Sus scrofa: one gene and its partners. The protein of the gene in region 3 interacts with the protein of the main gene of each other region in a pairwise test. Links are inferred from orthologs where the notes say so. Each region holds a gene or a part of one and is shown on either strand. Other genes may lie near its edges. The genes, in order: YES1, EHHADH, FUNDC1 and TUFM.

The links.
Region 1: the proteins of FUNDC1 (region 3) and YES1 interact in binary tests that used the Homo sapiens proteins (3 or more experiments, as listed by UniProt). The two-hybrid records come from large-scale screens. The link is inferred for Sus scrofa from reciprocal best matches to the Homo sapiens genes FUNDC1 and YES1.
Region 2: the proteins of FUNDC1 (region 3) and EHHADH interact in binary tests that used the Homo sapiens proteins (3 or more experiments, as listed by UniProt). The two-hybrid records come from large-scale screens. The link is inferred for Sus scrofa from reciprocal best matches to the Homo sapiens genes FUNDC1 and EHHADH.
Region 4: the proteins of FUNDC1 (region 3) and TUFM interact in binary tests that used the Homo sapiens proteins (3 or more experiments, as listed by UniProt). The two-hybrid records come from large-scale screens. The link is inferred for Sus scrofa from reciprocal best matches to the Homo sapiens genes FUNDC1 and TUFM.

The regions. Positions count from the first base shown.
Region 1 is NC_010448.4:105,503,216-105,510,637, reverse strand, and holds the start of YES1 (tyrosine-protein kinase Yes), read right to left. Parts: upstream 4,555-7,422; 5' UTR 4,322-4,554; intron 3,996-4,321; exon of another isoform or gene 3,975-3,995; intron 1-3,974. UniProt on the Homo sapiens protein: Non-receptor protein tyrosine kinase that is involved in the regulation of cell growth and survival, apoptosis, cell-cell adhesion, cytoskeleton remodeling, and differentiation.
Region 2 is NC_010455.5:123,150,840-123,157,819, forward strand, and holds part of EHHADH (peroxisomal bifunctional enzyme), read right to left. Parts: intron 6,127-6,980; coding exon 6,023-6,126; intron 2,790-6,022; coding exon 2,617-2,789; intron 1-2,616. UniProt on the Homo sapiens protein: Peroxisomal trifunctional enzyme possessing 2-enoyl-CoA hydratase, 3-hydroxyacyl-CoA dehydrogenase, and delta 3, delta 2-enoyl-CoA isomerase activities. Catalyzes two of the four reactions of the long chain fatty acids peroxisomal beta-oxidation pathway.
Region 3 is NC_010461.5:39,733,489-39,741,087, forward strand, and holds the start of FUNDC1 (FUN14 domain-containing protein 1), read right to left. Parts: upstream 4,176-7,599; 5' UTR 3,972-4,175; coding exon 3,944-3,971; intron 3,221-3,943; coding exon 3,064-3,220; intron 1-3,063. UniProt on the Homo sapiens protein: Integral mitochondrial outer-membrane protein that mediates the formation of mitochondria-associated endoplasmic reticulum membranes (MAMs).
Region 4 is NC_010445.4:18,519,707-18,527,331, forward strand, and holds TUFM (elongation factor Tu, mitochondrial), read right to left. Parts: upstream 5,000-7,625; 5' UTR 4,713-4,999; coding exon 4,670-4,712; intron 4,567-4,669; coding exon 4,372-4,566; intron 3,900-4,371; coding exon 3,733-3,899; intron 3,521-3,732; coding exon 3,416-3,520; intron 3,331-3,415; coding exon 3,166-3,330; intron 3,048-3,165; coding exon 2,915-3,047; intron 2,828-2,914; coding exon 2,723-2,827; intron 2,616-2,722; coding exon 2,464-2,615; intron 2,371-2,463; coding exon 2,251-2,370; intron 1,784-2,250; coding exon 1,610-1,783; 3' UTR 1,413-1,609; downstream 1-1,412. UniProt on the Homo sapiens protein: GTP hydrolase that promotes the GTP-dependent binding of aminoacyl-tRNA to the A-site of ribosomes during protein biosynthesis. Also plays a role in the regulation of autophagy and innate immunity.

The DNA of each region.
Region 1 (7,422 bases), on a different chromosome or scaffold from region 3:
AGTGTAGTCTTCTGGGCTTCTTTCTTCCTTCCGGTTACACAAGTCTGAGAGCTACTTCTCCCAATACTCTCTTATTCCCAAATTAACTAAATCCTGAACCACTAAATTCCAAAGCCAGAATTAGCAGGAGAACTGTCCAGATTTTCTAGTGGTAAAAAGACAACAAGATGCTGCTGCTCTTCACTTGCCATGACTATAAACTGAACAACATTTCAGAAGAAACAAAATTTGCCTATAGCACCTTCTAGTCTGGGGCTTGCTGCTGATGCTGTATCTGTGTTCGTTGATATCCATCTTCTCATACCCCAGGAATGAAGAAAGAACAATAGGAAAAGTAATCTAGAGTTCCTACTTACAAAACTCAAGCAGCCACGGGATATGTCATGTGCAGCTAGTTCTAGAATACTCCCTCCTAAAGGTCTTCCACTTCCTGGAAGAAAAGTAGGGAGTCCAAAGAATCTGTACATCAGCTCTGTCACCCACCAGATAACAGTAACAGAGCAGCACTTCTAGGAGACACAGCTTAAAGCATCGCAGAATATATATGGTTCAGAGAACCTGAAATCACATATATACTCAAACAAGGAAAAGTGAAGGGCACTGATGGGGGAAAGGGGGAGCAGAGGCATAGCCTGGCTCATCAGTAATCTCAAGTACATTATCCTGTACTCTGAAATTACAAGATTCCCTCTCTTTCCCAGAATGAGCATTAAGATCTTAAAGAACAACACCAGGTAAACCCAACCCAGACCAGGATGTGTTGCTATCAAGTCTGCCAGTTCCAAGACAACAGTAGTGCTGCTGCAGCCAACGATTCCTTGGCACACAGACTTGTTAAAATGATACTGGCAGAGGCACCGGCTCTTCTCTTTCACCCTCTGCTGTTACTATAGCTCCTTTTGCTAAATCTGCCTCTGAGTTTAGACAGGAGCTGGATGGATCATAATCACCCAGCAGCTGCAGCTGAGCAATAGGCAGCCTAATTGTGGCGCTGGAGCAGCTGAGAGGAAGAAAAGAGCTAATACGTACCCCGCCACGGCCACACAAACTGCCACACACACTACCAATGAGATACCAAGATACTTTAACAGAAACAGATGATTTCCTTTAAAGAAAAGCAGTTTCACCTCGCTAGAAGAACTTGCATTTGTATTACAGACCTGTTTAAATGTGAACTGAAGGTGACCTAAGCCATGTAGGTTTCTGAACAATGGAAGATCTTAACTAAAACTTCCTGTAAATATTCACACAACAAAGCCAGGGCCACAAACATCACCTTTATAACATGACTGAAAGTTCCTGCAGTGTAAGAATTTGGCACATAATGATCTCTTCTTCAACTCTACAACAATGCAAAGCAACATCAACAACTAAAACAGCAAGCCATTACATAAAGCAAGTAAAGTAGCATAAGGCAATGATTCACAGCATTTTTGTCACTTGAAACAAAACATACTATTCCTTTAGGTACACAAAAACTTATTTTATGCTGAGAACTTTAAGATACCCTTAAGAATATCAAAACACAGGCTGCAATTATTGACCTGAACAATTACTGTGTCAGGAAACTGAAAACAAATGAAAGAATTACTACTCTGATGCCACAGTTAAGTTGTAGGTTTTAACTGTCATGTTACCATACACAATCTTCAGAAAAATAGGGGATATTTTATACTTGATGACAGAACAGTGTCCACTAGTTTAATAAACATTTTTTGATTACCATTTGTCACAACATACAAAAATTGAAATTAAAGTTAGTAAAACCTGGAGTCTTCCCTCAAAATATTAACATAATTAACATGCTATTCACATGTGAAAGTAGTTACATACACTAACTACTGGCATATGCTAGTTGTGATTTAACAGGTCTAATCCTGTTTGCAAAGGGCAGCTCAGGCAGTGTTCTTAAGTCAGTCACCAAATATTAAGTCCTTTAGTGGAAGAACCTTACAAAGTACATTACACATAGGCGTCTTGAAGGGGGGGGGGGCAGTTTCATATAAACTAAACTACAGACACAGAAAGGCACTCAGAATAAACATACGGCTTAATGAATTACACACGAAAGCCAACACCCTTGCAACCACCATCAGGTAGAACTTTGCCACCACTTCAGGAGCCAGGTCCCAATCACAACTTCCTCCTTCCTCTCTTATCAGTACTTTTTACAGAAATCACTTCCTTGCAGATTCTTAAAAAATACATAGCTTTATCACCCAAGTTTGCATTCCTGGACCTCAAACCTTAATACCGCTCTCTTTAAAAGTTTTTTATAAAAAGAAATAGTACCAAAATTTTTTTATATTAGGCTCTTTTTAAATATAATGCTAATAGGAACTAATGATATCTATGCTAAACAGAATCACTAGGTTAAGAGCTAAATATATTAAGAAAAATTACTCACATTAATAAACTATTTACTGCCTAAAAAGATGCAAATTGCAACTCTACATAAACAAGTCTTACACCATGTGTTGGTAATATTTCATTACAATGGGTCATTACTATTCCTTTAGGATATTTATTCTTTTAATGTTACATAACATGAAGGAGATTGATTTGCATAGACGATTATTTTTCAATTTGAGGATTTACTGATTAAAAAAAAAAAAAACTTGAACCATACATTAATATTATACATCAGCTGTAAGACAAATTCCACCTATCCCAGAAGATAGGTCAAAGCTGTAATTTCACTTTTGGTTGAACAGAAAGGAGTCAATTTTGTGGTTTATGAAGTCAGCAAAAGCATACTGCAAAATTAAAGCTATTATAACATTATGGTGGTTACAGCAGAATACATATTTTAAGAGCGCTTTCATATTTTATCCTGGAAACATAGATATGAACTGTACTGTCTTGTACTTGGAATCAGATCGCAGTCTTTTTTTTTCTCCCCAAGTTTAGGAACCAATGAATTTTCAACCAGCATTCAAAATCTCCACTGAGGTTTAGCTAATGTCCAAAAATTAAAGTACAATTAAACTTCCTTTTATTAAAGGGTCAGCTATGGCAGGGGTCTAGAGTATTAACAAAACAGAAATATGGTTTACTGACATACAATATAGACCAATATATGAAAATCATGTGACACATACAAGATCCTTGGCTTCTAATACAAGACACTCCATTACCTGTCCATTCAAAATGTTGTTTCCTGTCCACTGTGTGCCAACCATTGTGCTAGCTAAGATATTAGATTTGCCACATACTTTCTTTGCTTTAAATGCACACTTACATGTACATATATAGTAATATTTTCCTCCTCATGTAATTTAACTATAAACATTTAACAGGATGGTTTAAACACACTAGAATTATCAAGATAACTTTGGTACTGCAATCCTGCAGCTGCAATACACGAATATACTACAATCACATATAGGTATATGTGAAATCATCTATGTGAACACACATACCAGTGGAAACTATGTATGTTCCCATGATAATGGCATGAACATAAAGTTTTATTCGAATGGAGACTCAACTTTTCATTTCTTTAATAATTTATGAATTGTCATTCCATGCCTGTTTTAATTAAGCAGAAAATAATTCAACCACCACACAGCAAAAATTAAAGCGGTCTCTACATCGGACTTGATTTTCGAAGAGCTTCTTAAAACAACGCTGCCCCATGTCCAATGAAGCAAAAGCGGAAAGCAATTACCAAAAAGAAAAACATATTAAAAACAAAATTTTCTTTAACACATGCGGACAGAGAACCGAACCAAATGGGAGGCAGAACTGCAAAACAATGTAAAAGTGCCCGCAGAACGGCATATTTCCCAACCCCCAACCCAAAACAAAGGAAAACTTTAACATGTTGCGGTTTTCAATCAAACCAAGTGCAGCGAGAGGCTCACCCACTCGCTCCCCCCAACCACGCCCGCTCTCCCGGCACAGTTGCCACCCGGCGTCCGCCAACGCGCAGACCCCCGACCCCTGGGTCGGAAAGAGGCCACAGCCCTCACCCCTAACTTCGGCCAAAATAAACCTCGCTGCCCCCTTGGCCGACGGCCCGCACGACCTTATAGACGCTTGTGCGGATGTCCCAGCGCAGCGAGGACCTTAGGGCGGACTAGGGCGGGATGGAGAAGGGCTGGACGGGGCGGAGACCCAGGCTGGGGGCAAGCAGGTAGCGCCGGGAAGGAGACACACCCGCCGGGCTAGCGGGGCCGGGGGAGGGGAGAAGTTTCTCCCCAACTTCCCGACTCGGAGCGGGCGGGGGCGGGGAGCAGCGGCGCCTCCGGGCGCCGGGGCCTACTGCTGTGGGCCGGGGTCGGCCACCTCCCCCCGCGGGGCCCCGAAAGGTCCTTACCTGCCCTCCAGCTGCGCTCGCATGAGTCGCCGCGACGGCGGGGAGGGCTGGCGGGGAGGGGGCGGCGGGCGGAGGCGAGGCCCGCGGGGCCCTCTCCCTCCTCCACCTCCTCGTCCCAGGCGCCCGGCGGCAGGAACGATTGCACAGCCAGCGGAGGACTCGCTACTTCAGGAGGAGGGAATTCCCGGGCTCTCCCACCCCTCGGCCTCACGCTCCGCCTCCTCCCCGTGCGGGGCCCGCCCTCACTCCAGGCTCCGCCCCCTGCGCGGGGGCGGGGGCGAGGACTACCTGCGCTGCCGACCGGTCACCGGAACTCGCGCGGCGCGGAGCTCCAGCGACCCCGCCTTCCGGCCTCCGCACGCGCCCCTCCTGGGCTGTTGGCCGCCCTCCGGCGGTCGGGGTCAGCGGCGAGTCCGAGTTACTTCTCCCGACCCAACATGGCGGCGGGGTCCGGGGCGGATTCCCGAGGCGGCGCAGGCTAAGGGGGCGTGAGGAGGAGGCGCTTCTCCACGAGGAGCGCAGTACCACAGCGCCCCCTCCCCACCCGCGGACCTTGTGGCCGCCCGCTCGGCTGCGGCGGGAGATGGAGCGGGAGTTCGCTTCCACCCCGTCGTAGTTTCCCCTTATCTTCGCCAGGCTCTCTGTAGTTGCCGGGGGCTTTGTCTTTGCGGGGTAGGCACGGGGGAGGGGGGAAATGGTGAGTTGGGTGCTTGCCCCTCAGCGCTATGCTTCCGCACCCTTTGTCGTTGGTAGTAAAATCTCAGCCAGCCGCGTGAGCCAGAGGGGCGTTACTAACACCCTCATCACGGTCCTGACTGCCGTCCAAAAAACGTTCGCGTCTGGCCTCCTTCCGATCCAGGGATCCTGTCCCAGCCCCAGGAGCTTCCTGTTGACTATTGGTCGAACCAGCCTTGCGGAGAGAGGGAACCCAAGCCGAGTTCTGTTGGCGACTCTCCCAGTAATGGTGGCTTTGGCTTGTTTTAGGAGACCGTATTCTTAGGCGATCGTGGCAAGATCCCAACGAAGGAACTGGACAGGTATTGTCCTGTTCGACAGTTGTGGAAACTGAGACTGCCACCCCGACGAACGCGGAGCAGCCCCAACTGGAATCCTGCTCACCTGCATCCAAGCACCTTTTCCTACTGGCCTTGTAGTGAGTCGCCGATGGAGAAGAAAAGGAGAGGGTCCCGAAGAAGCTGAGATTAAAAGTGAGGGTCAGGGAGTTCCCGTTGTGGTGCAGTGGTTAACGAATCCGACTAGGAACCATGAGGTTGCGGGTTCGGTCCCTGCCCTTGCTCAGTGGCTTAACGATCCGGCGTTGCCGTGAGCTGTGGTGTAGGTTGCAGATGCGGCTCGGATCCCGCATTGCTGTGGCTCTGGCGTAGGCCGGTGGCTGCAGCTCTGATCAGACCCCTAGCCTGGGAACCTCCATATGCCGCGGGAGCGGCCCAAAGAAATAGCAAAAAGCCAAAAAAAAAAAAAAAACAAAAAAAACTGAGGGTCACTCAGTGTCTGAAAGGGCTGAATCCTCTGCTAAAATCACTTCTGCCCTCTCAGACTCAGATTAACTTCCTCTTCGTATTTCCTCTTTGGTGGGATTATCACAACAATGTTGGGGCTGTTGGTTTCCTTTGTGGTTTTTAGCGAAATTCAGAAACATCTTCGACAAATATGAAGTAGTACCATCACGTGTCAGTATTCTGATATTCTAGGAACTTAGTAAATGCATATAAGGGTTTGAAAAAAAAATTTCAGCTCATTAAATGTACCAAAGATAAGCATAGGCATTCACATTAAAAGGTACATGTAACATGGTGCTTTATTATTTGATTTAGCTTCTGAAACATCATTTGCCCTTAATTTTCTTGGGCAATAAAATTTTCATGTAAAAAAAAATGCATACAGATTTGTTTTTGGCCATGCTGGTGGTATTTGGAAGTTCACCCGTGGGGGAATCAAATCCAAGCCACAACAGTGACCCAAGCCACAGCAGTAACAGCATTGGATACTTAACACAGAAGCCACAGGGAATTCTGAGATATATTTTTTCAATTGTATGGCCAGCATATGGAATTTCCCAGGCCAGGGACTGTATCAGCCACAGCTGCAACCTACACCACAGCTGCAGCAATGCCAGATCATTTAACCACTGCACCCCAAATGGATCACACCTGGACCTCTGTGGTGACGGAAGTCAAACTACTGCAGTCAAGATTCTTCTTCTTCTTCTTCTTCTTTTTTTTTTTTTTGCAGTCAGATTCTTAACCCACTGTCCCATGGTGGGGATTCCTGAGATATTTTTCTTGTCCTAAACTCACAGCCTCAAAAAAAATCAATGCTATAATACTTGTTTACCTCAGTTTAAGGGGTGAAGTGACTTTAAAGATATTCGGTACAAAGGTTTAAGGGGAAGAGGAGGTGTGTGTCAAAATCTATAAAGTATTATATTTATCACTGAATTTTCTTCTCTTAACCTTCATTTTGATTATTTTTGTTACCTCATAAAAGGTACCCTGTTTTCCCTTTTGGAATATTCATCTAGGTACAAATGTTAAGCTTCAGTCTTAAACTCAGTAGTTCACTGACTCCCACGGATATTAAAAACAAACGAGACAGGAGTTCCCCGTCCTGACTCGGTGGTTAACTCGACTAGAATCCTTGAGGGCGCAGGTTCAGTCCCTGGCCTCGCTCACTGGGTTAAAGATCTGGCGTTTCTCTGAGTTGTGGTGTAGGTAACAGATGCAGCTCGGATCCCACGTTGCTGTGCCTCTGATGTAGGCTGGGAGCTACAACTCCGATTAGACGCCTAGCCTGGGAACCTCCACATGCCATGGGTATGGCCCTAAAAAGCAAAAAATAAAAACAAAAGAGACAAAAAATCTCCAAAGTCTCACTGAGTTTGGTATAATAAAAATTGCTTTCAAGTGACAATCTCTTTATTTGTGAAAAGGACAAATGATGAAGCCCCCTCACCCCCCACACCCAGTGTCCCTCCCCCACGGCATAGATATCTGGTATATATGTGTTGAGTGATGAGGAACCTAAATCATGGAATCTCTGGGCCAGTCTGCTACATGAGAAAGCTAGGGGACAGCTTGAAA
Region 2 (6,980 bases), on a different chromosome or scaffold from region 3:
TTTGTGTTTTATAAAAATTAAAACAACACTGGGAAATGGTTAAATAAATTATGGTAAACATATAAAGATAAAAAATTATGCAACTATTTTAAGTGGTATTTTTAAGAAATAGTTCCAATAAGAGTAACAGCAAATCTCTCATCAGAAACCATGGAGGCAAGAAGGCAGTGGGATGACATGTTCAAAGTACTGGAAGAAAAATACTGTCGACCACGAATTTTATATCCAGAAAAAACTAGTCTTTGAAAATGAAGGTAAATTAAGACATTCTCAGATAAATAAAAACTGAATTTGCTGCTAGTACATCTGCTCTGCAAGAAGTTCTTCAGGATGAAAAGACACTAAGCAGTAACTCAAATCCACATGAGGGAATAAAGAATACTGTTAAAGGGTAACTATATATATAAATATAAAAGACAGTATTAATGTAACTTTTTGTATGTAATTTCTCTTTTTTTCTTATCTAATTTAAAAGACCAACACATTAAGTAATAATTATATTTTTGTGTGGATGGGTATGCAATGTATAATGATATTATTTATTTATTTATTTATTTATTTAATTTTTTTTTTTTTTTGTCTTTTTGCTATTTCTTTGGGCCACTTCCGTGGCATATGGAGGTTCCCAGGCTAGGGGTCTAATCGGAGCTGTAGCCCCTGGCCTACACCAGAGCCACAGCAACGCAGGATCCGAGCCGCGTCTGCAACCTACACCACAGCTCAGGGCAACGCCGGATCCTTAACCCACTGAGCAAGGGCAGGGACCGAACCCGCAACCTCATGGTTCCTAGTCGGATTCGTCAACCACTGCGCCACGACGGGAACTCCCATAATGATATAATTTATGACAATAACAGCATAAAGAGAGTGTGTAACAAAACCGTATGGGAGTAAATGTTTTGCATACTATTGAAATAAAGTTGGTACTAATCAGAACTAGATTGTCATAAATTAAGATGTTATTTATAATCCCCAGGGCAATCACCACTAAGAAATAACTCAAAAATACACAGTAAAAGAAATAATAAGAGAAGTTAAAGGGCACTAGAATATATCTATTTAACACAAACAAGAGTGTTAGTGGAGGAATTGAGGAATAACAAAAAAAGAAGGTACAGAAAATAAATTGCAAAATGGCAACTATAAATAATTATGTTAAATGTAAATAGCAGATATTGGCAGAATGGATAAAGACTATTTAATAACACTTTAAACATGCTATTAGTATAAAAATAGAGTTCAAATGAAGGAGAATAAAATTCCAAATATTGGGGGTTTTTTAATTAAAAGGTTGCAAAGAAAAACAAAACTGTAAGAAAAAGATATTACCCAGGAAAAAGACCAGAAGGAAATAAAACAGAATGTTAACAGTGGTTATTTCTGAACTGTGAGTTTATGGTGACTTTAGTTTACATCTTCATACTTTTATGCATATTTTTTATAATTTATTACAATGATGAATATTATATTTATTACTAGAAAAATATAGGAGTCCCCATTGTGACTCAGTGGGTTAAGAACCCAAATAGTATGAGGATGTGGGTTTGATTCCTGGCCTTGTTCAACAGGGTAAGGATCCGGCGTTGCTGCAAGCTGTAGCATAGGTCACAGTTGAGGCTCAGATCTGGTGTTGCTATGGCTGTGGTATAGGCCTGTAGCTGCAGCTCCCATTTGACCCCTAACCCGGGAACTTCCATGTGCTACAGTGTGGCTCTAAAAAGAAAAAAGAATTATTTACAAAAATATTACTGGAATTCACATCGTGGCTCAGTGGAAACAAATCTGACTAGTATCCGTGAGGATGTGGTTCGATCCTTGGCCTCGCTCACTGGGTTAACGATCTGGCATTGCCATGAGCTGTGGTGTAGGCTAGAGACGTGGCTCGGATCTGGCATTGCTGTGGCTGTGGCATAGGCTGATGGCTACAGCTCCAATTCGATCCCTAGCCTGGGAACCTCCATGTGCCAAAGGTGCAGCCATAAAAAGACAAAAAAAAAAAAAAAATACTCTTGTAAGACTGGAATCACAAACTTCAATCTACATGTCTAATAATCCAAATTAAATCTATTTCCAGAAATAAATGGATTTACTAGTTGTGTGCTATTTCCAATGGGAGTTTGTCTTAGGTACTAATAATTATGAGACCACAAAACTGAAATGTTTGTGATAGGAAATGAAAATTTAAATAAGTATGCATACTCAGGGGTGACAGTCAAAATATTTAATACTTCATACTGCATGAGCATGGCTCAGTGAAATCTGACATGTGAGCCACAGTAACAGAGCAGGATTCTACAGGTCCTGTCTGAACAGGAGTTCCGCTTTAGTTGGTGGGTCATGGGGAGGTCCAAGAGCTGGGGTTAGGGGAAGTGGAAGGACAGTCATGGGCTCAGGGTATCAGCTATTTATCAAATAAAATGGATATTTTCAACCTTTCAACAACTACTACTAATGTATTGGTACAAAATAGCTAATACCAGTGCTAGAAATACCTAAGAGTTGTCAACCAATAAGCCAACCCTTTAAAATTAACATCTCTGATGCTTAGGACTACATTTAGAGCTTGCCCTAAATAAAAGCCCCACCACCAAATCCCCTATAGATCCCCTCTGTTACCTCTGCATGGGCAATCCTATAGTGACAGCCCAGGGCCAGCTCCAGTCCTCCTCCTAAAGCCAAGCCTTGGATAGCAGCCACCACAGGCTTCTCATATCTCTGTATTTTATCTACTATATCTCCCAGTGTTAAGTCAGAGGTTTTATGAGCGCTGAAGCCATGGATATCGGCACCTAAGAATACAAAGACAAGGAAAAAAGACAGTAGAGGAAGACTTGGGCTTTGCTATAAAACAAAAAGTAACCAGATAACTCTTTTTTTTCCCCCTTTTGTTAGGGCTGTACCAGTGACATATGGGAATTTCCAGGCTAGGGGTCAAATTAGAGCTCAGCTGCCAGCCTACAACACAGCCACAGTAACATGGGATCCGAGCTGCATCTGCAACCTACACCATAGCTCATGGCAACATCAGATCCTTAACCCACTGAACAAGGCCAGGGATCGAACCCATATCCTCATGGATACTAGTTGGGCTCTTAATCTGCTGAGCCACAACAGGAACTCCTCAGATAACTCTTAAGGAATCTCAAACCTCTTTGGACCCATGAAACACTTCATCCTTGGCTGCAGACACAGTAAAGGAACAAATAGCCTGGAAAATGTTGAATGACATGAGAGAAAATCCTCAAATCTTTATCAGAAATCCTGAGCAGGAGTTCCCATCGTGGCAGTGTGGAAACAAATCCGACTAGAAACCACGAGGTTGTGGGTTCGATCCCTGGCCTTGCTCAGTGGGTTAAGGATCTGGCGTTGCTGTGAGCTGTGGTATAGGTCACAGACATGGCTCGGATCCTGCGTTGCTGTGGCTGTGGCACAGGCCGGCGGCTACAGCTCCAATTAGACCCCTAGCCTGGGAACCTCCATATGCCGCAGGAAGCGGCCCAAGAAAAGACAAAAAAAAAAAAAAAAAAAAAGGAAATCCCGAGCAAAGCCAGGGATCAAACTGGCATCCTGATGGATACTAGTTGGGTTAGTTTCCACTGTGCCACCACAGGAACTCCCAAGATAGTTTTTCATGTAATAGTAGCAATTAACATTTATTAGATAAATACTATATATCAGGCACTGTGCTAAGTAGATTTATATACTGCCTTATTTAATTTTCTTAACATTGTTAAGTAGTATAACAGTTTCCATTTTACAGGTAGGGAAATTTAAGGCTTTCAGGTTAAGTGACTAGTTCAGACATAGGACTCTGTAAAAGGCAAGGAATGATTCTTCCCTAGAGATTTTGGAGGAAGACTGGCCTTGCAGATATCTCGATTTTGAACTTCTAGCCTATGGAACTCTGAGAGAATATGTTTCTGTTGTTTTAAGTCACTCAGTTTCTGCTCATTTGTTATGGCAGCCCCAGGAAACTCATATAGGAAGTAAAACTCTTATTTTTATTCTCTGAAACGTTCCTGTAAAATTAGAATAATATTTTCCTTGACTTTTCAGTTAAAGGTTACCAATTAAGTCATCTGGGACTTGAATTTACTTTGTAAGATTTCTGAAAACTGATTCAATTTCTTTAACGATTTCCTATTTTTTCTTGAGTCAATTTTATAAGCTGTGTTTTTCTACTTGTTCCTATTATCTTTTTTAATGGCCAGAGCATCTGCAGTGATATCTGTCATTCTTTATGCGTATTGTTTGTACCTTCTTGTTTTTTCTTGATAAGTCTAACTGAAGCTTTATCAGTTTTATTAGTCTTTTCAAAGAACTTCTGACATTTTTATTCTCTTGATTCACATTTGTTTTCTATTTTAGTAATTTCTCTTCTACTACTTCCTTCCTTCTAATTCATTTGGATCTATTTTACTGTTCTGACAGTTCCTTGATATAGATGCTTACCACAATATGGTTGCTTTTTTTTGTTTTCTGATGTATATCTTTAAGGCTATAAATTTCCTGCTAAGCTTGAGCTTGTATTCCTCAAGCTGTTTTTATTATCATTCAGTTCAAAATAGTTTCTAAACTGCATTGATTTCTGCTTTGACTCAGAGGTTATTAAGAAATGGATTTATTTTCCAAACACTTGAGAATCTCTAGTTAGTTTGTTATTGATTTATAGCTTGACTGCATTATGGTCAGAGAACACATTCTAAATGAAATTCTTGAGATAAGCTTTCATGATCCAGTACCTGATCAATTTTTGTAAATGTTGCAAATTTGAGAAGAATATATATTTTCCAAATGTCTGGCGCATTGTTCCATATAAGTCCATTAAGTTAAGTCTGATAATCCCTAATGCTTTTCTAGGACAATTATTGTTTTTGCCTCTGAACCTAACTGCATTCTCTCCTACCTCCTTTCCCACAAAGAAATATCAATTCTGACTTTTCATACTTCTGATCCCTTACTCCATGCCTCAAAGCACCATCTTGTCTCCCAAACTCAAGTCTTCAAACAGTTGAGTAAGCCATTTAATAGCTGGTTAATGTTTGACACATTATTTAATCTATCTTAGGCTCAGTCTCTTATCTGCAGATGGAAATTATAGGATTTACTGAGGATTAAACTATAAAGTGTTTAAAAATATTACTATTTTCATCGTCAATAAATAAATAAGCTACACAGTACCGGCACATAGCAGGCATGCTAAATGGTAATTATTATAATGAGTAATGTCTTCATATTTATTTACTGTCATGATTTCAATAGCTATTTCTTCTCCATCTATTGCCAGCATACATTAAATTCCTCTGACTACCTTAAGAATACATGGGTCCTCATGCCCATGTAAATTTTGTCAAAGGGTATACTATATTCACTTGGAGAAAGAATAAAATGTGCCACAAATACTACTGAATAAATCACCTTTTCAGATACTTTTGCCATATTTTATCACTACGTTTGCATCTTCACAGGCTAACCCAATAAAGAGTGCCGCGGTCGCTGAGACGAGTGACTATCAGGAGAAAAATAAACTTCAAGATTCTGTGTGAAGTAAAAAATAACATTTATTGAACATCTGCGTGTAGGCACTGCTCTAGGGGCTCTTAGATACATTATCTCATTTAGTCTCACAAAAACCTATTAAGATATAAACGTCACAGTATATTTTATAGTGCAATTGAGGTTCAGGAGATTAAAGGGACTTGCCCAAGCTCACACAGCATAGAGACATATGCAGAGCAGGTATGTACCAGCAGGTATATACTAATATGTATAATAGCCATCAAGCCTGGAACTAAATGTCCTCCAAAGGCCCAATCCAACTGAAAGGGGGTAAAGTCAGCATCTTCTCTGGGACTCTTCTGTGACTCCTGTCTCTTTCTCCATAGTGTTTCTCATTCCCATTCAAGTCTCCTATATTCATTACTCACACTATGGTATTACCCACAGGGACAGCTAATGAAATATTGATCTCAGGCTGTGGCTGGATTTGAGAAATAGTGGGAAAGGGTTAAACATTAGTTACCTGCAGAGAAGATGCCATCTGTTCCACAAATCACAATGGCTTTTACTGTATGATCTGTTAGAGCTTTCTGCAACCCCTCTTTTATTCCATGGAGTACAGACACACTACAAGAAAAGAAAATTATGTGATGTATTGATCAGAATAGAATTTCTACCATCTCAAAATTTTATTTTTTCACTCCTTCCCTAATAATGAGAAAGTAAACATACACATGATGGATTAAAATCCTGGATACTATCATTAAGCTTTTATTAATTTAAAAAGTAGTATGTCTCTTGTAAAATAAGCACTGGGCTGATTAAATACATAAACTCTAGGGAAAAAAAAGTGTTTTCCGGAGTTCCCGTCGTGGCACAGTGGTTAACAAATCCGACTTGGAACCATGAGGTTGCGGGTTCGATCCCTGCCCTTGCTCAGTGGGTTAACGATCTGGCGTTGCCATGAGCTGTGGTGTAGGTTGCAGACGCGGCTTGGATCCCGCGTTGCTGTGGCTCTGGCATAGGCTGGCAGCTACAGCTCCGATTAGACCCCTAGCCTGGGAACCTCCATATGCCGCTGGAGCGGCCCAAGAAATGGCACAAAAAAAAAAAAAAAGTGTTTTCCTGCATTCTGCTGTAACTCTGACCACTTAGAATCAGGATAATCAATTTGAAAATATTATATACATCTTCTATGTACAGTAAAAGGAGTTTACAACATCCTAGGGAGAAAAAAATAGTACATAATATCATACTAAGATGAGTGCTATAACAAAGGTACAAAGAAATGATGTGGAAGTTCTGAGGGGAAAGAAATTGCTTTCAATTTGTCATATTGGCAAAATATAACAAAACTGAAATAGTCTAAAAGAAACAATCTAAGAGATATGGCAGGGGCTGCAAGTTACCCCCAAATAGCCCTCTGATCTTTTTCCAAGTATCAAACATGTGATTTTTAGCTGAATACATGGCTGCCCAAA
Region 3 (7,599 bases):
AACTCCATGTTGAGTACCCACGGGTTCACTGTACTCTTCTTCTACACTTACGTGTTAAGTTCGAATTCCCCATCATAAAATTGATTTGTTCTGGTTTTTTTTTTTTTTTTTTTTTTAACACGGTCAAGGCATTCTGCACACCTGGCCGACCCTCACCTCTCTCTACCCAAACCTTCTGCTCCAACCCAATTAGTTTCCATACAGGTCACACCACTGTTGCTCAAGCTATTCATCTCCCTGTTTCTAGAGGTTTTGACCTAGCTCTACCTGTCTTAAACTTTTCTACCCTTTAAGGTCCAGCTGGAGTTCCACCTTCAGGACTATACCTCATTTCTCATGGGTTCCCTGTCCATTTCTATGCCTATATTAAACCTGTTTTGTCTCATTTATCCCGTAAGGATGTCAACCCATACTTCTTGTGAGCTCATTATTCCCTTCAGTGTTCCAGATCCACGGTGTGCAAAAGAATCTCAAATTTCTAACTCGAGCCTTCTGTACTGGATTTTCCCCAAGTCCTTGACCTTCCCCGAACCTTTGGACTAAGGTCATTGCAGATTAATTAGTTCAGATGAGGCCAAACTGGAGTAGGATGGGCCCCAAATCCCATATGTCATAGAGACACACAGAGGGAAGGCGGCCATGTGATGACAGAGGCAGAATTGGAGGGATGTGTCTACAACTTAAGGAATGCCAAGGATTGCTGGCAACCAAGAGAAGCCTGGAGAAAAGCATGGAACAAAGTCTCCCTGAGCCTCCATGAAGGAACCAACCCTGGTGACACCTTTCAAACTTCTGGCCTCCAGACCCGTGAAAGAATAAGTTTCATTTTAAGCCACCCAGTCATGATGCTTTGTCACAACAGCCCTGGGAAACTAATACACCTTCATAAATGGAAATCTCACATTTCCAATTACCTGATGAGCTTCTCTTGCACCCAGATCCACATGTTCAAAGTGTCCCAAAGCAAACACCATCTTTCCAACCAAGAAAACTGCTGCTAAGGTGCCGGTGTGTAAGCGACAGTACCGTTCTCTAGGCTCACCTCCTCTCGCTCATCTCAGATCACCTTCTTCATCGCCTTTGGGGTCCAACTGACTGCCAGCTCTCTACACTCGGGGATCTCCAAAACAGTATTTGATTCTGTCTTCTTTCCATCCTGAAGGGTGTCACTGCCTTGCCTCCAGATCACACTAAGGGCCCTCTAACTAATCTTCACACCTCCCAGCTCACCCGGCAGCCACCCATGCCGCTGTCAGTTTTAATTTCTCATCATGCTCAAGAACCTATAGCTACCGACAGCTAAATATAATCTCCTTAGCTTCCCATTCATGTCCTGAATTGGTCTGAATTGTTAACGGATTAGTCTGTTAGCCATTCTTCCTTAACTTATGCCACAACAGTTCAACAGTTCCATACCCTAAGAAAACTGCAAAAACAGATTACACTGAATCTAGAGTCAGCACAACAAATCACCTGTTTAACATTATAGGTCTATTACACAGCTCCTGGATGGACATCTGGCTCTAGTCCAAACACATGTGGCCCTCAGTACAGGAGACAGCAGCAAAGACTCCGAAAAGGGAGCAGAGGAGAGAAGCAACAGCCAGGTCTTAACTATATCCCAGAGAGTATGCTCCACAAGCATGTCTATCCTTTGCCTGCTATGGCATACAAGCCACTACAGGAAACCTACTAATTTAATTTCCCTGTTCTGTCTCTAGGCTTTCCCAGCAAACTTCTGTCAATTACAGGGCTTCTCACCCAGTTTGGCCTACAAAGAGAAAATACACAATGATATAATTCTAGTGTTCAATTATTTTTTTTCAGTCTCTTTTAAGATGGGGCTTCAGACCGTGACTCACATTAACCAATCAGCCTATGGCACCAAACTGTGGCCTTATTTAAGCAGAAGGCCAGGTCCTGAATTGTGGGCATCGAGGTACAACCAGCCTGTGAAGGATCATCTGAAGAACCAGGGCTCTGACTAGGCCTCTCTCGAACTGTAGGCTTTGTTCATAAGCAGCATTAATAAGTACACATTATGAATAAATACAGCGTCTCTTCATTACAGAATCTTCACAATGAGTGTTTCTACCATAAAATGACATTTATTAAAAAAAGCATAAAAGAGTGCCCCATTATTCCAAGGTGAGTGTACAACACAAATCAAAACATTTCCTTTTATACTTATCAAGTTTGTACATATTTAAATTCATGTAAGATGAATTTAACTTAGAATGTAAGAAAAAAAGTGACTATTCACAAGTTATGCACCCACACTAATTTCAAAGATTCTCTCAAGGTCATAAACATTTTCAAAACAAAGGGTCAAACTTGTTTCTGACCTGTGTTATTTGGCTAATCTTTTAGTCTAAGACTAACAGAATTGGATCCATAGTGGCAATGATACAATCATGTGGTCTGAAATGTTAACCTAATTAATGTTAGGTTAATGCTTATTAACCTCTCCCCCTTAACGTCCTCCATAACATTACTACTGTGTAAGCAATCAGTCCTTTATTCCCAACAATGTAGACCCAATGCTCTACAGCTCTTCCTCAGCGTATTAGCACAATCCAAACTAGCCCCTAAAAATGGACAGAATCAGTCATTTTTACTGAGAATTTTACACTGCTCTCTACGGGGCTGATACTCCTGAGGATCAGTTTTACTGTGGGAGTTCAGAGCGTTTTCCAGATGTGAGCACAAGGAAGAAATTATTTACATATAATGAATTCTTCTCCTTTATGTTTTTCTCTCTTTAGCCACTGTCACTGAATCGGATCCAATAACATCTGCTAAAGCTGAGAAGGGGGGAAATCTACAAAGAACCAAAGGAAGGGTGAGGAGGGGGCACAGGGGAGGGCATGGAGGAGGAGGATCATCAAAACCCAAGAGTCTGTGAGAGTAGATTACACTCATCTTAGGGCAGAGAAAAGCCTCAAGGTACAGCTCTTTAGGGATTAACAGTGTAAAGCCACTGACTGAGCACGGAATTGGCCCAGATACAAAAGGACAGTAGTCAGGCTCCCAATGAAATTCAAGGAAAAAAGATGTTCTCACCAGCCACTCACTCCACCCATTACAATCTGGGTGGCCACTGAGTATTTTTCTACCATAGGTCCGGAACTGTGGCCAAACACTCGATTCCACCAGTGGTGTCTTCTGGCATACTCAGTTAAATCCAACACTTCGTAAGAGTCATCATCACTTTCATAGTCTTCAAAACGGAAAACGAAAGCAACACATTTACAGTCAACCGAAAGTTAAAAATGCCCTATACATTTTTCATCTGTTACAACTCATTGCTACTTTTGGCAAACAGCTAAAAACGCCCAGATGGTAACAAACTTTGTTAAACCCAATCCCTGAGACTAGGGCCTCGAAAGCATCTCGCTTTTAAAGGCTCAGGAACCAGCCCGGGGAGTCAGGGCAACGTCAGTTACACAGCAGAGGGGTCACCCGCCCCCAAATCTCAGTAGGGTCAGGTCGGAGTTTCACAGCCGGGTCCACCCCCACCCCAGTCTCAATAGGGTCCGGTCAGAGTTCCACAGCAGGAAGGGTTACCCTCAAGTCTCAGGTTCAGGGTCAGCGCAGGGTCCATTCTTCTCAGTGGGAGAAAAAAAGGGGGATCCTCCACTGACAGAGTCGGGTCTGTCAGTGGAGCATTAATCACTTCAGAGCCAAAATTTTTAAAAACATTAGAAGACAGCTAGAAAGGGCCGTAGGTGTAGGTAAGGCGGGAGGTGGGGCTGTGTTGGGGGAGGGGAGGGAGCCCCTCTTCGCCTGCGGGGAGGGGGTACTCAAAGAGGCTACCTCCAAAAAAAAAAAAACCACAGAGCTCCCAGGAACCCTAGGTCAGGGAAAGGAAGAGGCGCCCCCAAAGCAAGGTCGAGAGCTGTGAGCCGCGTCTAAAATACTACTTCGGGGCCCGGCCGCTCACCTTGGGGAGGGGGGTTCCGGGTCGCCATGATACCGCCGGCGGCCTGTACTGAAGGTGGTCCCAGCCCTCCCTCCTCTCCCTACTACTTTAAGAGCCGCTCTAGACCCAGGTGGAAGTCTATGGTCTCTTTTTTTCCCTCCTCCGCCTGCGCCTCCTCCTTCTCCTCCTCCTCCTCCTCCTCCTCCTCTTCCTCCTGGCGCGTTGTCCTGTCCCCGCCTCCTCCTCCAAGCGCAGGGCCTTCTGCGCAAGCGTCAGGCTCAGGGGGTGCGGGGAGGGGGGAGGGGAGGGGGCGCGGCTAGCAGCCCGCGAGGGCTTGTGGGAGTTGTAGTCCGTTGCCATCTACAAACCTGGTTTCCCACCCCTCCCCCTCTAGAATTTCCAGAACAAGAATCTTGTTATTTTGTTTTAAAGGGCCTCAGGTCTGGAGGGGAGGGGGTGTCACAGGGCGGTTACGTCGAAAAGCAGCTTGCCGTTTGTAGCGCTGTACCAGAAAGAGGCTTTTGAAAAGAGGTAAGAGAAACCCCGTTTCAAGCCACACTTTTCTGAGGAGTCAAGGGCTAACAGATGGAAAATTTTTCTAACGCGCTGCTGCTGGGAATTGGAACCTTTTCATCCTCTCCTTCTCCACACGTTTCCTGCCAGGAACCCAAGGGAGGAAGAGGAAGGCCTAGGAACTGACCTGACACGCGTTATTCAAGAGGACATAATTTTTGAGCATCATTTTTATTATTTGAATCTGACAGAGGGAACGAGGTCAAGTTCTTCTCCCAGAAGCCCTACGGGTTTCAGTTGAATGAAAAGCTGTGTTAATCACCCAGTCACTAACTCAACCCCAAACTTGTTTTGAATTTGCTTTGCACCGCCATTCGTTGTACAATTAACACAGCCCTATCAGTATTCCTATTCCGAGAATATGAATATGAAGGAAAAAACAAGAAATTCTGGTAGAAGTTGCTTTCCTTAAAATATTGACTTACATAATTGCACTTGGCTTTTCAAATCCTGGTGCTTTAAATGCAAAGGTTGATTCTCTCAAGCTCCTCTGATTGTGCCACTCAAAATGCAATTCTAAGACTGCCTGGAGATGTTTGTGATCACTTTGTGGAAGGTGACTCTTTTTGGAAACAAAATCACTTTAAGGGACGTAACTTCAGAAGTCCCCACTGAAATATTTTCTTCCAAGAGTTAACAGATTTGAGTTCATACACGCCTTCCTCCTCATTGCCCATCTATGCCTCATGAGGTGCTAACAAATAAGAGAAATCGCAAGTGATGGGCCACTGAAAGAACAGAAAGGAGAAGAAAGGAAAAAAATTACAAATTGGAAGAGGGTTGACTGGGCCAATGACGCCCAAATGACACTGTCACATGCTTCTAGCTGTAGCTACCAACTACAGGAAGAAGCAGCTTTCCTATCAAAGCAATAGTGTTTCAAATTAAATGATTATGGAGAAATGAGGGAGAAAATGGGAACAAAACACTGCTCTTATGATGCCCAAGAAGAGATCTCTGTATCCAAAACGTATCTGAAACCTGTCCAAAAATGAATTAAAAGGCAGTCATTTCTCTAAAGGACTTGAGGGCTAGAATGAACTTTTTAATGCTCTCCCCTTTTTCTTGCAGTACGCCCTTGCCATTACCTCAAGGAAGTTGGTTGTTTAATATATTTTTCTAGTGTGAGGTTTTTTCTTTCCCAGTATTGAAAAAGCTGTCATTTTGTTGGCTCGGTGATGAACAGCTGAATGTGTGAATTGTGTACACAGAGTTTAAACGGAGCTATGGATCCTCCTGGTGGGTTCAAGAGGGTGATTTTTTAATTCCCATTTTGAATAGTGAATAGTGATGCGGTTTTTTTTTTTTCAGTTAGTCCTAATAAACATTTTCATTGTGAACACCGATATCTTATCTACGGCTGTACCAAAACATAATTCAGGTAGTCTCCAGCTTTTCAATGGGTAGGGTTCCAAAAGTTTATGAGTAATTTACTTGAAACAGAGAACATTTTCTATTTCATCCATAATGAAACTGTAATGAAACTAGTCCTTCCTCGTCGCCATCTTTCCTCATTGTCGTTGAAAACCTCATTTGTTAAAAACAATTTCGTCAGAATTGAGAAAAACAAAAGGCAGACAAAATAACAAACGAACAATTCACACTCCCTGGACAAGATAACCCTCCCCCTGGCTAAAACTAATCCCAACACAATGGAGCCCACTCACCCCACGTTTACACACTTAAAATGGTCTCAGTGACCTTTCCAAGTACTGAGAGTATCAGTTGCTGTTGAGAAAAATGTGGCAAAGGTGATGCTTTGTGTACGAGCTGGCGGGAGTGCAAACAGGTACAAGTTTTGATAATGTGAATCCACAATCTTAAAGAGGCCACTTCACTAACAATCAGTGCCAAAGACAATATAAAGAGTTCTTATTCTACCGATGTTGCTACAGAGTTGTTGTTTGGTTTGGTTTGGTTTTTCGTAATGAAAAGGAATAGAAACAATAGGGAAAGTGGAAAGCGTCCAACAGCAGATGATTAGTTATGGAAATGACTGAATGTTACGTTTAAAAAGACTGTAATAACAGGAAAGTGCTTAAGTGAAAAATATTGTTTACCCAAGTGTATTTACGGTTTTATTGCAAATGATTGATTCAGTGTCTGCTAAAAATGCATTAAGACTTGATAAACTGAAATGGATTATGTTACATACTTGATTCTAGCCCACTGGCATTTATCTCTGTGTTCTGCTGAACTCAACAGTTTATAAGGTATTGTTACTGAACCAAACTTGAGTCGGCTTGCCCCCACACAGTAAAGCCAATCTACTGACACCAGGCTTTGGTGAAGGCAAGTGTAGCTGTTTATTGTAAGGCACCATACAAAGGGTCTAGCACAGCTAATGCTCAGAAAGCCCAAACTCAGAGCTCCTGCTGTGGCGCAACAGGATCAGCGGCATTTTGTGAGCTCTGGGGCGAGGGTTCCATCCCCAGCCTGGCACAGTGGGTTAAGGATCTGGTGTTGCCACAGCTACAGCTTAAGTCTCAACTATTGCTTGGAGCTGATTCCTGGCCCGGGAGCTCCATATGCCAAGGGGTGGCCAAAAATGAAAAAAATAAATGAAAAAAAAAATGCCCAAACTCCTCAATGGGTTTCAGCAAAGCACTTTTTTTTTTTTTTTTTTTTGCTTTTTTAGGGCCACTCCCGTGGTATATGGAGGTTCCCAGGCTAGAGGTCGAATCGGAGCTACAGCTGCCGGCCTAACTCACAGAGAAACTCGGGGTCTAAGCCGTGTCTGCAACCTATACCATAGGTCACGGCAACGCTGGATCCTTAACCCACTGAGCAAGGCCAGGGATCGAACCCACAACCTCATGGTTCCTAGTCGGATTCGTTCCCGTTGCACCACGACGAGAACTCAGCAAAGCATTTTTAAAGGCCAGGTGAGGGCAGAGGAATCCCAGGGTATAACATCAGCTCATACACACTTCTCTGATTGGTTGATAGTGAGGTCACAGGGTGTGGTCACAGGGGTTAACATGAATCGTTGGGCGCCTATAGGTCAGGGAGCTGTGTGCTCATGGTCGTCAGGTAGTTCACGTCTTCATTTGGTGGGGGGTTTGCATCTGTAAAACAACTTGGGAAATGTGCATCAGATACTG
Region 4 (7,625 bases), on a different chromosome or scaffold from region 3:
CAGAGTTTGGACTTCCTATCCTTGACCTGGCCTTGGTGTCTTTGTAAAATGAAGATGATTTCAGCCACAGAGGACTGAGGATGGGACTGGGGTCCAGCAATAGGCCAGGGAATTCCAGCTCTGACCGAAGATAGAGAAAATCTGCAGAGACCAGGGCAGGAAGTTAGATGTTGGGGGAGGTGAGGGAGAAAGCATCCGAAGCATTGAAAGAGGCAGGGGGAAGAGGGAATTGTCTGTAACAGCCAATTGGCTGTTAGAAGCTGGGCAGGTTTGGGGTCCCAAGGGACAGCTCTATGAAAGGGGGTCAGTGGGAGTTGAGAGGCAGCGACGGAAGAAGCAGGAGCAGGAAAAAGCCTTTGACAGCAGAGGAGGTTTGCATGCAGATGGAGACGGGTTTCTGCAGTACTGAGGTGTAACTGCTGGTGGTACTGAGTAGCCCAATGGATGAGTATAATCCCCCTGTGAAAACTTTCAGCCTCGAGAGGCTGAAACTTTGGGCACTTAAGAGGCTAAAGCAAGTGAGCTCACCCTACCCTTTACCTTTGAACAGGACATTTTTTCATGACAGTTCCTGTCCTCCCCTCAAGCCCGCCCTTTTACTCCTGCTCTGCAGTCACCAATCAGGCTGTTTCTCAAAACAGCCCCCAGGTTGCACCCAAGAGCTCCCTTCTCTTTGAGTTGCTTGTCAGTAGGTATTCAGGACATACTCATGTATCAGGATCCACGTTTGAAAGGGAAACCCCTGCTAAATGTTACGTTTGGGCATCCTGATCAGTCATTTCAATGTCTTGAAAAGTTTCAGTGTTTTACTTCCTGTGTTCAACAGACCTTAAGCCTCAGTACTGACATTGAAGGTGAAATCTACATTCTACAGTTTCTCACTCCTGTTTGGAATCAGTGATGTACTGATAAGCTTTCAAGCATACAGACTCTTAAATGTATCAAGTACCTTTTGTGTGCTGCATCTAGAGGTACAGTCCCTAGTGTCACCTAGCTGCGAGGACGGCTAGGTGGCAACAGCCTAGTAACTACTCAAAGAGGAAACTGGGTGGGGTTTGGCACCTGAACTGGGCCCAGGCTATAAGCAAATACTTTCCCTGGACCTCCCGGCAGGATATCCAGCACGGAGCCTGTCGAATATAGCATTTTGCTAGGCAATCCTACAAAACTCACTAGACGGGTTTTCGATTTCTTTAGCTTTTTCAAGTTATTCCAGCAGTGCTGGGGGTGTTAAGAAGGCTGGAGCTTTTTCCATCCTGTACCAGCAGTGACCTCTTGAGGCTAGAGAGCTGAACTCAGTTCAGACGGCTCAGGGATCTCACAAGCTCACCTGTCCTGGGCTTCATCTCGGATTTTGTATTTCCCACTCTATCCTCTCCAATGTGTACAAAGGACACAAGACACACACAGGCCAGCTATTTACAGAACAGTTTATTGACCTACCTCACCTGGCCAGCCGTGTGGCCCTCTGGCCAGGGGAAGTGTCAGTCTAGCTGTAACTAGAGGCTGGGCTGCAGCCTCTGCCCTGGGACCGGGGCGCCAGAGAGGTAGGAGAGAACATGGGCCAGTGCAGCCCGGAACACAAGAGAGCCCTGGCGGAGGTCCCGACTCAACTCCATTTGATGTTCTTGTCCTCCTCGGTCATGGCCGGCGTGTCGGTGACAAGGCCAGTGCCAATGGTCCGGTTGCCGTCCCTCAGGGTGAAACGCTGGCCTTTTTCTAAGATCATTGGCTGCCGCAAGATGAGGGTGAGCTTCAGGTCCTCCCCGGGCATGGCGAGCTCCTGGAGGGCAGAGACAAGGACCAGGCATGGTCTTCAGGGCGCCTCCCTTCCCCGTTTGTTTGCTACCAAGGAGGTTAAAGGCTATGGGCAAGTGCGGCAGGGTGATGATTCTTTCTGGAGAGACCTTCATCCCAGCTCTCAGGCACATGCAAACAGCATATGCAAAGGCAGAAATGCGTTGGTGATGAGAAGTCCTCGGGTACATTCTCAAGAAAAAAATGTTTAGATTTGGGGTCATACAGGTTCTTTGCTCACAGGGCTTCACTGAGCCCTTAGGTACAATACAGAGGAACTCCCGACAACGGGAACTCTTTCCCTGGGAAATTTCTGCGGGTGGGTAAATGATGGATCAGGACGCGTTCCCCCTCAATCCACTGATCCAGACCTTTCTATCACCAGTGCCACCTGCATGGTCATCCAGCCTTTCTTCACCAGGGAAAAGTCACCCACATTCACATGTGCCCTACCTTCCCCTGTGGCAAGATGATCCGACAGGCCATGTCCCAAGTCAGGGAGAACATGACAGGCATGAAATGAGACACAAAGGGCTTGTGGCGGCCACCCTCCTCCTTGCTGAGGATGTAAACCTGTGAGAGAATGAGGGAGCAGCTGGGCTTGGCTGGAAGCACCACATCTGCCCACAGTGCCCGGCCCATCCCCACCCCGCCCGGAGCCCTCACCTGCGCTTCCACCTTCTGGTGGGTCTGGATGGAACCCGGCTTGGCCATGACCAGGCCACGCCTCAGGTCCTCCCGCTTCAAGCCTCGGACCAGGGCCCCCAGGTTGTCGCCGGCCTCCGCCCTCTCCAGGCTCTTGTGGAACATCTCAATGCCTAGGAGGGAGGAGAGACGAGGGAGGGTGTGGGGCAGAAGGAAGGAGCAAGTGGCCCACAAGGGGAGAGGGCAGCCTGGAGCCCCAGGGGCCCAGGGCCTCCTGTACCTGTCACCACAGTGCGAATATTCTTGCTATGTCCCAGGAACTCGCACTCATCTCCCTTCTTCAAAATACCACGCTCGAGCGTGCCTGTCACCACCGTGCCTCGGCCTGGGAGGGGACAGGACAGGACAGGACATCAGGGACCCTGGGCAAGCTTCTGCGAGAAGAAGGAATGTGAGCGAGCAGAGTCCTCACCAGGGATAGAGTACACAGACTCCACAGGCAGCAGGAAAGGCTTCTCCAGGTCCCGGGTGGGCACTGGGATATAAGTGTCCACAGCATCCAGCAGCTTCTGCACAGACTTCAGGCCTAACTCAGGGTCACGTTGCTACGGGCGGGAGGTAGACAGGACCCTGAAACTTCCATTCTGCTCCCCTTAACTTGCCGAGAGCCACTCCCCAGACTCAGAGCAGAGCTCGGGATGCCCGGCCTGACCCCGCCTTCACCTCAAGGGCACAGAGGGCAGAGCCCACGATGATCGGAGTCTCCTCCCCTTTGTAGCCAAACTCTGTGAGCAGTTCCCTGATCTCCAGCTCGACCAGCTCCACCATCTCAGAGTCCTGAACGGCGTCCGCCTTATTCACATACACCACCACGTGCTCCACTCCAATCTGCAGGCGGGAGAGGGAGCAACGGTGTTGTGAGTGAAGGCTCTGCCCTCTTTCCTCCTTCCACCCATACCCTGGCTCTGGGTACCTGCTTGGCCAGTAGTAAGTGTTCTCGGGTCTGGGGCATGGGGCCGTCGTTGGCTGCTACCACCAGGATGCAGCCGTCCAGCGGGGCAGTACCTGTGATCATATTCTGGGTGAGGAAAGGAGAGAAAACTGTAGTTCAGTGACTTGGGGTCCCACCTCCCCCTGCCACCTCCACTGGCCAGGCCCCCAAATCCATGATCTCAAACCCACACATCTTGGCTCTCTTAACCTCCTCCCCACAAGCCTAACATTGTTCCCGATGGGGGGGGGGGTGCGCGGGGGAGCAGTTCCAGGGCCTGCCCCCAGCAGCTCTCTCACCTTAACGTAATCTGCGTGACCGGGGCAGTCTGTGTGGGCATAGTGGCGGTTGGCAGTGCTGTACTCCACGTGGGCCGCATTGATGGTGATCCCTCGGGCTCGCTCCTCTGGGGCGTTGTCGATCTCCTCGTACTTCTTAAACTTGGCCCCGCCTCCCTCGGCTAAAACTAACGGGAGGAGAGCACACCTCTCAGCTAAGGATCTGATCTGGAGGGAGAGGCAGGGCTCAGACCACACCTCTGGGCCCCTCCCACCCAAACGGGAGACAGCCTGGGAGAAAGCAAGCTTCCAAGACCTTCGTCTTCGACTCCTGGAACGGAAATAACTTCACCTTTTAGGGCGTCAAGGGTCAGCCCTGGGACGTCTCTAAGGTAACGCTTCTGCTTTACGGGGCACTCCTCCGGGCTGGAGGGAGGCTATTCGGGGTCCCCCCATTTATGCATCACAAAGTTCTTCATTTCGACGGGAAGTCTTGTCTCCCCAGTCTTGCAATCTACCGCCCACCCAAGGTGAGGCTCCTGGGGCCCATGCTAAACACCTCCAGCAGCGTTCCGGCGGGCCCCACCTCCCCGGCGCCACGTCCCGCCTGCAGAGCGGGCGCTGCCGAATGCCCGACCCCCCCGCCCCAAATCCGCTTACTTTTCGTGATGGCTGCGGTCAGTGTGGTCTTGCCGTGGTCCACATGGCCGATGGTACCCACGTTCACATGGGGCTTGTCGCGCACATAGGTCTTCTTGGCCTCCACGGCCAGGCCGCGGCACAAGAGGGGCAGTGCCGGGGCCTTCAGCGGCCGCAACAGACCCTGCAACAGTGATGTTGGGCCAGCGCCGAGACCTGCCGGGGCAGAAGCTTGGCGTCAGGGCGCGGGTCTGAGCCTGGCCGCTCCCGACGATCCCCGTGTACTCCCGGGCCGCCATCGCCCTCCCCGCCCCCTCACCGCTGAAGAGGGGCGTCGCGCGCAGCAGGGTGGCGGCCGCCATTGTGGTCTTACGAGCGCCGGGAACAGTGGGTACGGCGCACGGACCCCGGCGCGTGCACCAAGCAAAGGGCAATTGAGGCTGGAAGCGGCTTCCGGCGGAAGTGAGGGCCGAGAGGGCAAGTTTGGGCACTTCTAGCCCCGAGTCTCTATGACCCTCCCTGTCAACTTCCGGGCTCGGGACCGAAGACGTCCAGGAAGACGCTGGTGCCTCTGGGGTGGGGAAGGATGAAGAAAGTTTCCCAGACGCCCCTGGCCTTCGCGGGTTCAGGGGCCACGCAGTTCTCTCTGGTGGCGCCGGGGGGCGATGAGCGCCGCAAAGCACACCTGCGCCCCGGAGGCTCATGGGAGTTGTAGTTCCCAGGGCGACAGGCTGTGCGGGCACTTAGCGTGAGAGTTAGGGAGACCGAGGCTGGGTACGTAAGGACGGTCTCGACCCTCTTTGAGGCAGAGGCGGCGGCCCGGATGTGGCTGACCCAGGAACGTCCTGGCCCCGAACCCCGTGGAGTCCCACCCACTGCGCGTGTCTGGCGACTCATCTGGTGGCCAGATCTCGCAGCTGGAGGTAGGACCAGGCCCTGCAACTCTGAGGGGGAAGACGATCCTGGGAGTCTTTCGGGGTTGGGGCTCTAGTGTGATCCTTCTCTCCGCTGACTCTTTGTTTTCTCATCTATAAAATGGAAGTAGTAGTATCTGCTTCATGGACAGATCCTGGCGTCTGGGTCTGAAAGGAAGGGAGCTAGGTAGGAGGCGGGAACGGGGTCCAGAAGGCTCCAGGTCCCACGGTCTTTGACCCTCGCTCCTGGCTCGCAGCCTGCGGAGACAGTTTGCCGTCCACCCCTGTTGCCTCTCAGCAGCCCAGGGAGTAATTCCCTTGATCGTCGTCCCCCCCAGCCACCCAGTTTTATAGATGACCAGGTAAGGGACCAGCCTCTGGTGCCTTTGAGGGCAGCCTGAGCCTGTCTTGTTCCGGCTGTGTCCCTGGCACCTACCACTGGGCGGGGCACTCAGTGAGTGCTCAATAAATGTCTGTTGACTGAATGAATGAGTGCAAGGATAGCAAATGACCTTTAACTTTCACATCCATCATCTCATCACCTTGCAAGGATAATAGCAGCTGCTTAACCTTGATTAATGTTTCTGAAACTCATCAGATCCCAAGACTCAATTTACGGTGTCTGTTTCAAATAGATTCCTTAATTCCTCCTTGGAGATTATGATTCAGTAGTGTCTGGGCACAGACAAGAAAGCTATATTTATTCATAATACATATATACACCCTTCTTAGGCTTAGGGGAGGTTGGAAAATTCAGATCTAGAGCTTTTTTATGGATCAGGCACTGTGAAAATGCTTCATATTGGTTCACATTCAAAGTGCCAAATGTTATTCTGTGGGAATATTATTTCCTCTGTTTTACCAGTGAGAAAACTGGCATCAGGATGATTGAGGAACCCAGCCGAACTAAACTCCAAGAAAGTGTGCACTTAGCCAATGTACTATTCTGTAATTTAACTGTCATTTTTACAATGAGAAACATGCCAAGATGTTTGTCCTCCTGTCCTTCCAAACCCATCAGCTCTCCTTAAGAAGGGCTGGTACAGTATTAAAAGGGTTCCCAGCCCGTACCTCAGTCACTATGCTCCTGGGAATTTATCCTAAGACACTGTTGGCCACTACCAGGATGTGAGATTTTTAGGAATGGTACTTGAACTAATGCTTTCTATTCTAGTGCTATGTTGTTGTTGTTTTTAATTTTAATATTGTGTTTTTAGGGCCGCACTCACGGCACATGGAGGTTCCCAGGCTAGGGATTGAACTGGAGCTGCAGCTGCCGGTCTACAACGCAGGATCTGAACCACATCTTCAACCTACACCACAGCTCACGACAACGCTGGATCCTGAACCCACTGAGCAAGGCCAGTGATCGAACCTGCATCCTCATGGATGCTAGTCAGATACGTTTCCACTGAGCCATGACGGGAATTCCAGCGCCATGTTTATTTTAATGTGTATTAGTTTGAAGGAAAGACTGGTATGGCAAATAGCTTAAAAAAATGAATCAATTAGGAGTTCCCAAAAGAACCCGACTAGTATCCATGAGGATGCAAGTTTGAGCTCTGGCCTTCACTCAGTGGGTTAAGGATCCAGTGTTGCCATGGCTGTGGTGTAGGCCAGCAGTTGCAGCTCTGATTCAACCCCTAGCCTGGGAACTTTCATATGCTGCAGTTGTGGCCCTAAGAAGCAATAAAAAATTTTAAAAGATGCTCTTGAGGTATTCCCTGGTGGCATAGCAGTTTAGGATCTAGCATTGTCATTGCTGTGGCTCAGGTCACTGCCGTGGTTCGGGTTTGATCTCTGGTCCAGGAACTTCCACCCCCCCCCCAAAAAAAAGATGCTCTGGGAGTTGCTGTCGTAGCTCAGTGGTTAACGAATCTGACTAGCATCCATGAGGATGAGGTTTTATCCCTGGCCTTGCTCAGTGGGTTTGAGATCCAACATTGCCGGGAGCTGTGGTGTAGGTCACAGATACAGCTCAGATCCTGCGTTGCTGTGGCTCTGGTGTAGGCCTGCAGCACAGGTCCAATTTGACCCCTAGCCTGGGAACCTCCATATGCTGTGAGTGCTCCCCTAAAAAGTAAAAAAAAAAAAAAGATGCTTTTGAAACCAAATGACCTTCTGGGTCTCCCCAGCCATCCATGTTCGTTCTGCTCCATGACTGAGCTCCTGCTTAGCAGCCATTTTTCCATCTTCCTGTAGTTGGGGCCTCAGTTTTATTCAAGTGGCCCTTTTCCCAGTTCCACAATCAGTCCTGACAGGGAGAGTCCACTGCTGGTGCTCCCATTCTCCTTGCCAGGGGGTTTGTTTAGGGTTAAGTGTGTGGTTCCTTTGGGGCTTGTGATTGGTAAGAGGAGATCT